Linked DNA regions of Yarrowia lipolytica. The protein of the gene in region 1 purifies or fractionates together with the protein of each later gene. This does not show direct contact. Links are inferred from orthologs where the notes say so. Each region holds a gene or a part of one and is shown on either strand. Other genes may lie near its edges. The genes, in order: YALI1_F35907g, YALI1_E19082g and YALI1_B23061g.

The links.
Region 2: the proteins of YALI1_F35907g (region 1) and YALI1_E19082g purify together in Saccharomyces cerevisiae (affinity purification with western blotting; 3 studies listed by BioGRID). This does not show direct contact. The link is inferred for Yarrowia lipolytica from reciprocal best matches to the Saccharomyces cerevisiae genes DPB2 and PSF2.
Region 3: the proteins of YALI1_F35907g (region 1) and YALI1_B23061g purify together in Saccharomyces cerevisiae (affinity purification with western blotting; 3 studies listed by BioGRID, with this or other methods). This does not show direct contact. The link is inferred for Yarrowia lipolytica from reciprocal best matches to the Saccharomyces cerevisiae genes DPB2 and SLD5.

What each region holds. Positions count from the first base shown.
Region 1 is NC_090775.1:3,589,360-3,593,124, forward strand, and holds YALI1_F35907g (uncharacterized protein), read left to right. Parts: upstream 1-1,407; coding exon 1,408-3,366; downstream 3,367-3,765. Other genes in the region: YALI1_F35894g (uncharacterized protein), read right to left, coding at 10-53, 98-254. UniProt on the Saccharomyces cerevisiae protein: As accessory component of the DNA polymerase epsilon complex participates in chromosomal DNA replication.
Region 2 is NC_090774.1:1,907,217-1,909,568, reverse strand, and holds YALI1_E19082g (uncharacterized protein), read right to left. Parts: upstream 1,361-2,352; coding exon 593-1,360; downstream 1-592. Other genes in the region: YALI1_E19098g (uncharacterized protein), read left to right, coding at 1-271; YALI1_E19070g (uncharacterized protein), read right to left, coding at 2,281-2,352. UniProt on the Saccharomyces cerevisiae protein: Functions as part of the GINS complex which plays an essential role in the initiation of DNA replication by binding to DNA replication origins and facilitating the assembly of the DNA replication machinery.
Region 3 is NC_090771.1:2,305,089-2,307,541, forward strand, and holds YALI1_B23061g (uncharacterized protein), read left to right. Parts: upstream 1-1,030; coding exon 1,031-1,813; downstream 1,814-2,453. Other genes in the region: YALI1_B23055g (uncharacterized protein), read right to left, coding at 1-415. UniProt on the Saccharomyces cerevisiae protein: Required for DNA replication. Functions as part of the GINS complex which plays an essential role in the initiation of DNA replication by binding to DNA replication origins and facilitating the assembly of the DNA replication machinery.

The DNA.
Region 1 (3,765 bases):
GCACGTCTGTCAGTGTCGGAATGTGATGTTGTCAAATCTGTCTGTAGTGGATGCTTGAATCGTCATAGTCGTCGCCGAAGTCGTAATAACTAACCACCTGTATCACAAATAGGTATCACAGCGGATATCATATAATATCTCCCTCTGTGGTGTTGTCTCTTCCATGGAAAAAGTCGTTTGTTGAAGTGCAGTGGTGAACAGATGTCGAACAATCTACTTTCGATGTCCAGGTTCAATGTTGGCGATGTGGACATTTGCGCCGCGGGGGCTCGTCCTCAGTGGGTTTCAGTCGTATTCCCAGCCGTTTCTCTTTTCCATCAATTCCCTAGCATCGACACACTGAAATATTGGTCTACTGCCCGGATTATATATATTTAAACTTGCGTGATACTTTCGGAACTAGAGATGCCGTGGATATGTCGGCTAGGGTCGACCCGGTCGATACCCGGATGGGGGGTTTGCGGAGGGCTGTAGGAGGGACTTTGAGACATAATTTGACCGGACAAAGCAATGGATCAATATTACTGTGTCCAATTTGTAGATTTGTGTGGTTTTAATTTCGAAAATAACTCTCGTACTTGTAATAGCCCTACCCCTCCTATTATTCCGCTTCCTTACCGTTAGCCTTGAGAACCTTGTTAAGTATATGAAATGCAGTGTGCGATACAGAATGTGTATATGAATTATGGTGGTGAGTTAGTACAAGATGACAATTGTCGTACAGGTACTTGTATGGGTACTTGTAGGTACGAATATTGAATGAGTTGTGTATAAAAGGGGTTTTGAATCTCACCTCGTTCTCATTATACAAGTCCAAGTACAGTACTTGTACTTATCTCGTGTCTGTTAATTGTTTGAGTGGGTCGTCTTAAACTCCTTAAACTGACTTCGTATGCTGTGAAGCCACGGTGGGGTGTGCACCCTGCAAGCGTAAGAACGGTCAATATTCTGAGCTGATAACATGTGATCTCTATCACACTATGTGTACAAGTACTCTACAAAGTACATGTACTGTACCGACACAAGAAGATGAGCTCATACTCACCCGTCCCTCTCAATGTGCACCCCCACACGCTGCACACACAGCGACAACACCAGAATTTCAAGTACAAGTACATGGCGTCGAAGGTGTTAATTTATCCCCTATTCGAGTCCCCGCAATAACTACCATGGGTGTACCTTCATATGAGAAAAAAATATCGCCTAAGCGTTCATATTATGACGGCTACTGATGCTCATGTGGGGGGAATACTAAGTTCACGGGTCATACATACCTCTCCTAAAAATTTGTACACATCCACACACAAGGTTTTGACGCGTGCATGATTTCGTTAATGGAAAAAACGCGTCAGGGCAGCACGAAGCTACACAACACTCAGCACACTACAACATACGAGCTACACCACCATGCCAGCAGTCCTCCCGATAAAGCTGAATCCATCGCAAATGCGGCCCGTGGCGTACCGGATCTTCTCCAAGAAGCACGGCCTCAACTTGAAATCAACAGGTCTCGAAACACTCACCGAAATCATAGGCAAAAACTACGGAACCGAATGGCGAGGGGCCGAGGCTGCCAAAATGATGGAGGAGATTTGTCGACTGTGGAAGGAGCAGGAGATGGGTGTTTTTGTGGAGGGCAAGCCGCTGCAGGAACTGTTCGATGAGATCACAGCCAGCAAGAAGGCCAAGGAAAAGGCACGAGTCCAGGTGGTTTCCAAGAGCGTGGGATTGACTGGAGTGGAGGAAATCGAGGATCGGGAAGGAGAGCCACAGGTGAACGTCATCAGAGAAGCAGCTCCTTCTGTGGACGTTGTGTGGAAGGAGTTCTTCAAGGTGATTAGTGCTTTTGATCAGCCTCTTTTCCATTATAATGCCCGCCAGCAACGGTTTGAGAAGCGGAAAACAAAACCCACATTGTTCGCCAATGCCCAATCTGCCTCTAACATGTTTCTGACTCGTTACCATCTGGTCTACAACCGTCTATTGCGCAATGACGACACCACAGACCTGAAAATCACATCGATCCGATCTCTTATTGGTCGACAGGGCGAGTTTTCCATCTTCGGAATGCTTTCCAAGAATCCGGAGCAGAAGATTTGTTTGCAGGACGACACTGGTCGTATTCTGCTGATCCTAGCAGCTGGTTGCAAGCCTGATCCAGGAGTATACTATCCTGAAGGCTCCTTTGTCATCTGTAACGGTCGATACATGAAGTCAGGAGACGCCGAAGTGTTTGTGGTCATCACCATGGGCCCTCCTGTGGCCGAGAAACGACAGGAGACCATCACAGCATACGGAAACATGGACTATCTGGGACTGCATGGAAACCCCCATGGTTCTGTGGTGAGACGAATTGAACGGCAGGTGGAAGCATCAATGCTTGCCGAAGAGAAACGCTTGGTAGATCAGAAAGTGATTGTGTTTGGTGGAGATATGTATTTGGACAATCCTTTGACTCTCAAGGCTCTACAGAAAGTGTTTTCGACCATTGAGCTTGAGTTTCAGGACTCTGGAACCAAGAAGCCTCTAGCCATGGTGTTCTCAGGAGACTTCACTAGTCAGTACCAGCCACCGCATTTGTACAAAAAGGGGTTCGACAAGTTGGAGGAGCTTTTCAAGGAGTTCAGCAGCATTATCACTGGTGTCAAGATTATTTTTGTTCCTGGCCAACGGGATCCTTGGACTAACACTTTCCCGACACAGAATGCAGTTGTTCCTCTGCAACCTCTTCCAACCACCATGATTAACAGAGTCGCCAGACTATGTGGAGAGGATGTTTCAATGAGCTCCAACCCCTGTAGAATGGCTTATCTTACACAGGATATGGTCTTCTACCGAGATGGACTCAGTGAGCGTCTGCGAAAGTGCAACCTTCAACTTGATTCTGCCAAGGACGATTCGGACGATTCGGATGATGACATTGAGATTGACAACGATGAAGTAATGATCAACGACGTTGTAGTCAACGAGCCCGAATCGTCCTTCGACTTTGGAGAGGGGCTCAGCAACCTCACTCGACCAGTGGATATCAGCACTCCTATGGCCAGCCAAGTGGGTCCTACCAACACTCTTTCAGCCAAGGAGGTGGAGTCTCGCAAGATTGTGCGAACCATTTGTGATCAGGGTCACTTGTCTCCCTTCAACAGACACGACAGACCTGTTGCCTGGGACTACGACGAAACTCTATGGCTCAGTCCACTGCCTACGATCCTGTTTATGGTTGACACACATGCTCCGAAGTTCTCTCTCAGGTACGAGGAGTGTATGGTGGTCAACCCTGGCCCCTTCCTGAACAGAAAGATCGCCAGCTGGGTTGAGTATGATCCTTCCAAGAAGACAGTCAAGGAGCGACAGTTGCATATTTAGACAGTAATTCATGACCCAATATTAGAAAAATGAGCCTTTGTTGCGTTTGAAGCGATATTATTGCCTTATCATACGCAGTCTTATGATTATTATTAGTAATCAAATGAAGAATGGAGACTAAAAAAGCCCGACGTGGGGCTTGAACCCACAGCCTTGAGATGACACCTAAGAATAAGAGTCTCACGCTCTACCGATTGAGCTAGCCAGGCATGTTTAACGATATTGAAAAAAGAAAATTGGACGTAGAATACCGTACATTTGATTAGTCAGCTGATTAGAATAAAAAAATTGAGTAATGAATCATCAGAATAAAAAAAAATTGAGCTGTAATGAATCATTAGTTAAAAAAAATATAAAAAAGAAAAAACGAGAAAAGAAAAATGGATCATTAGGATAAAC
Region 2 (2,352 bases), on another chromosome or scaffold:
CGACTGGGTCACGGCCCGATCTCGTGTGGTGGGGGGCCAGGAGCCGTCGCTGCTGGAGCTGCTTCAGAACATCAACCAGAACGAGATCAGCTCCATGAGTGTGACTCTCAATGGCTCCGCACGAGTGGTGGAGGACCTGGCCGAGGCCCAAAAGTACCTTGCTAAACACGAGAAGGCCAACCCCGACGCCAAGCAGTTCATTGAGAACCAGGAGATTGCCCTTCTGCTCGTCACCTTCAAGGAGGTCAAGGTTACCGAAGTTGATGTTTAGTTGTGCCACAAGAGCAAGAGCGACAAGAACAACCAGCAACCACCACCAAGTAACGCCAATTCCATTTCTTCTGATGATATTGTGGGTGCTGGTAGATTCAATGCATGCTAAGTCATTGCAGTCTCCAAACCTACAAGGTTCCGTAAATTCTTGTACGATACAGTACATACTCGTACCCTGTACTTGTAACAACATGTACAGTACGTAGCTTATCATTAGTCGTGGCTTGCCCCTCAATACTTCAATTTGGTCGGTTTCGATTACAATAAATATATTCATTAGTGTACATGTTGGAAGATGTGTTCTTGTATCTGAGAAACATCACCATTCGGGGCCGCCTTGTTGCGGCACATTATCATCCCACTGAGACAACTCTCGTCTTCTTTCCGAAGTGTCCACTCGGTCTCCATATCGCAACGAAGAGTCCAGTTGAGATGAAGGCACAGCCAACGAAGACTCGTCGTCATGTCCATAAGTAGGCTCATCATCCTCGTCGTCCTCGGGGTTGTCACTTTCCGAATAGATTATGGGCTCCTCCTTCTTGCCGGCCTTGCGGATCTTGATCATTTCCTCCATGCCTTCTACCACAAACGGTCTCATTTCGTTGATCTCCAGAGCCCCCAGTCGGTCCATCTGCAGCATGTTTTCGTTGACCTCCTTCATACCCTGTCGACTTTTTTGCTCCCGCACCTCTCGGATATCTCGCACGAGGTTTCGGATCACCTGTGGCGGCGAGGTGAGGTCGTCTGGAGCGGTGGTGAGCACAATCTGGGCGATTTCCAGCCAGTGGAAATCCACGTTGGAGAACGCGGTGGGGTTGGCATGCTCAAAAGCCAAGATCCGCCGCAAATTGCTTTCCTCCATCCAGTCCGGGGGCACGAACTGACACCGCTGCTGTTTCTTGAGCGCGATGGCCATCCAGATGGGGACTCTGTTCTTTCGAAGAGGATGCATGAGAGGCAGATCTGTGCCTGCCAGCTTGATGGGGTTGCCGACTCGTCGCGGCAGGATCTCGATGGTCTCATTCTCCGCCATGAAATGCAGCTCCGACGGCAGGAAGGTCTCCAGCTGTTCCGCTGGCACCGACATTTTTTCTTCTTCTTGCTGGTTGGTGTGCGACGATGGCTAATCTAATCACTTCACGCGTTTCCGTTGAAATTATCCTGCATATATGATGCATGATGAAAGATTGTGGGTTCGATTACGAGGCGTATAATATTACCGAGAGAATTAAATTGGAGATACGACCACGAATACTCGGCGTGTCATGGGATAGTGACGGTTTTTGGTGGCAAATGGTCATGCAAGTTTTGATGTTTTTATGAAGAGATAGCTTCTGGTAGCTCTATTCCAAATGTCTATGAAGTCACAACCCGTATTCTTGGAGACCCCTTGGGGGCAAATGTCGAGAATACGACCGTTCTGAAGGCGCCCTTGCTTCGGTATTTAGGACCTCAAACACCAGCGTTCCCCAGACTCGTGTCAGGTCCATTCACTTATGCTCAGGTACTCATAGCAGTTCTCCTGGTCTGAAAGGATGCCGATCATCGGCTCTACAGTACCTCTTCCATCTCGGGGTGGTGCGCACAAGACGGCATGTCATAGATATTCTTTTACCGCGTCACGAGCATGTGTTTCGATCTGATCATGAACATTTTCATCAACGGCATGGACTTGATGGTCGTCGGTAAGGGAATCCCGTGGAAAGCTATTACAAATACTCGTGTCTGGCAGGGGTCGAATCGTCATCTGAACCACCAAGTGAACGATAACAATTGTCTGTAGTCCTCTGACACCGTCTGTAATCCTCTGACACCCCACCTCCGATTTGATGCCTTCACATGCTGGCCGACGAAGATAGAGTGTGAGACATTTAGTGAGAGCAAAGCAAGTACTTGTAGCGATAGAGCTCTCGGATGTCTGCGCACCAGCCGGATGTCTGCGCACCAGCCGGATGTCTGCGCACCAGCCGGGATGGTTTGAGTCATGAGTCATTAGTCATTAGATTGCTAGTTTCCGGGAGAACCACAGTCGGTCTTGCGCCAAACTCCAAACTCCGATCGCGACCAAGTCTTGGATTT
Region 3 (2,453 bases), on another chromosome or scaffold:
TATCGTCATCAATGGGGTCGGTCTGGACCCCCTTTGAGTAGCAGAGTGGCGGTGATGTTGTCCGAGTTGTAATCGCAGCGGCTGTAGAAGTTGAAGCTGACGCTGATGCTGTGTTGGAAGTGGCTGATGTATCAGGACCCTGAACCACAGGAACTTGATCAAAGGCATCAGCAATGACTATGGAAAAAGATCCTGGGGTGTCGTCAATTCGAGTAGTCACCAATGAGTCTACCAGCTGGTCGATATCCTCTTTAGAGGGTGCTGCTCTTTGTGCCTGTGTTAGTAGGTTCCCCCTGGCTGTGTTTGTGTGTTTGTTGAGACTCACCTCCTGCTGTTGAAGAGCTTCTCTGGCCTTTCGCATCTCTGCGATTCTGGCCCTTTTGGCCTCGATCTCGCTGCGTCTGCTCGAGCTCATTTCCAGGCTATTTGTGAGCGTTTGCAAGCACTAGTGTGTGTGATGTTAGCTGTTCGTGTTCGTGTTCGTGTAGCGGTGTGCAGTGAATAAAGGGTGCAGTTGTGATGCACTGCAACAGTCAAGTGGATTTAGAATATCTAGTGAGGATGTCTTAACAAAATAGACGTTGGGGTGGCACGGGTTTGTGAGGCTACGTAGGAGAATTGGGAATATAAATTACAACTGAAGAAACGAAACAGCGTTCACGTCACATCATCAACGAGAAGTATTTCGGAAAAATCTTTTTGGGGAGATCCAGAATAACAGCGTAGCAGAGCTACCTTAGTTTAGATGTTGTAAAAATACCCGCCATTTAGCCGCCGTGTGAGAACCTTAGTGTAACCATCACCTTGGGCGTTTGAGACCTTAGTAATATAATTTTTAGCAATTTCTTGAGCTTTACACGAAACCAAGGTACATATATATAGCTACGATTGATGTACCAGGTAGCTACCGGCTACTGGGTACTTCCACAGCGATTCCTGCTTAGACACGCACATCAGGACCTGCACGACGCGTCAACTTAATTAGAGCACATCAAAAATTCGTCACGCACACAACACAACGATATCAAAAATGGAGGAGGACAACTTGGACTTGGAAGGCATGGACATTCACAGCGGGCTCGACTCGTCGTTCCACTCACCGCCGCACACATCTGATCCAGCGGGTCTGAGCATGGATGAAACGGACGATATTGATGATCTGATCAACAACGTGCGACCACACGACCCACTAGGTACTTTGGAAGAGAAGGAGGCTGATATCAAAGAGTTGACACATTCATGGGTGACTGAGCGAATGTCACCAACGCTTCTTCCGACGAAGGAGGCGCTGTTGTTCCGGATTCTCAAACGTGTGCAGCTTCAGATCGAGGTGATTGAGGAGAAGTCGATAGACATGAGTCCGGACACAGACGTGAAGCTGGAACTGCTGATTGTGGAGACGGAGCTGGAGCGTATCAAGTACCTGATCCGGTCGTATCTGCGCGTGCGACTGCTTAAGATCGATAACAGCATGGAGTACTACCAGTCTTCCCCCTTGGACAGAATGAACATGTCTCAAACAGAGAGAATGTATCTCAACCGGCACTATGCGCTGTTGAAGAATCTGTACGCGCATCAGTTTATGAACACGTTCCCAGACAGTCTCAAACAGATGAACGACTCTTCAGGAAGTGCAAGCATGGTTCAGGAGCCCAACATGGACCATCCAGTGTTTGTGCGAGTAGTCAAGGATACAGGACGAAAGATTATCATTGGAAACGATTCAGTCAAGCTGCGAAAGGGTAGTATCGTCGTCATCAAGTACTCCATCATCGTGAAGTATGTTGAGAGTGGTGATGTTGTTTTCATTTGATGAGAGAAGGAAAATGAGGTGAAACAACTCGACGGGGGAGTTCATGGAACTAATGCTGAGACACGCAAGCTGTGGGCTGTTAGTTATTTTGTGAAGTTGACGCTCGCATGCTACGTTATTGACACCCGTACATACCGACGATTGTGTGTCAAGAGCTCAAGCAGCTAAAATATGACAATCGCCCACTTGCCTTGTCTGTATCATCAGTTACTCGACGAAGCCTTAAAAAGCAAGACACTTCAACGTGGTCGAGACGTTTAGCATGTATCTAACTCACCATGGAGACCCTGCGCGGGCGACCTGGAAGCTGTACATACAGATGCTTACCATAAATAGAGACATCTAATTGTAAAATGCATATCATCATTAACCCTTAGTGCTTCCAGGTAACGGTATTGGTCGCATTGGACTTGGTCTTGGGCAAATTGCGCCTTAGTTACCACTTAACCCAAGTAAAATACCATGCATCACAGAATCTCACCTATAAAGACAAGACTATCAAACCAAAGGTCATTATTTCGTTTATTTTACGAAGTGCTGTAACCTATCATTATCCATAATATTACTTGGCATTACCAAGTAACTTACTTGTTCCAGAATCATGCCTTCAAAACACCTTATGAGTTAACAATTACGAGAT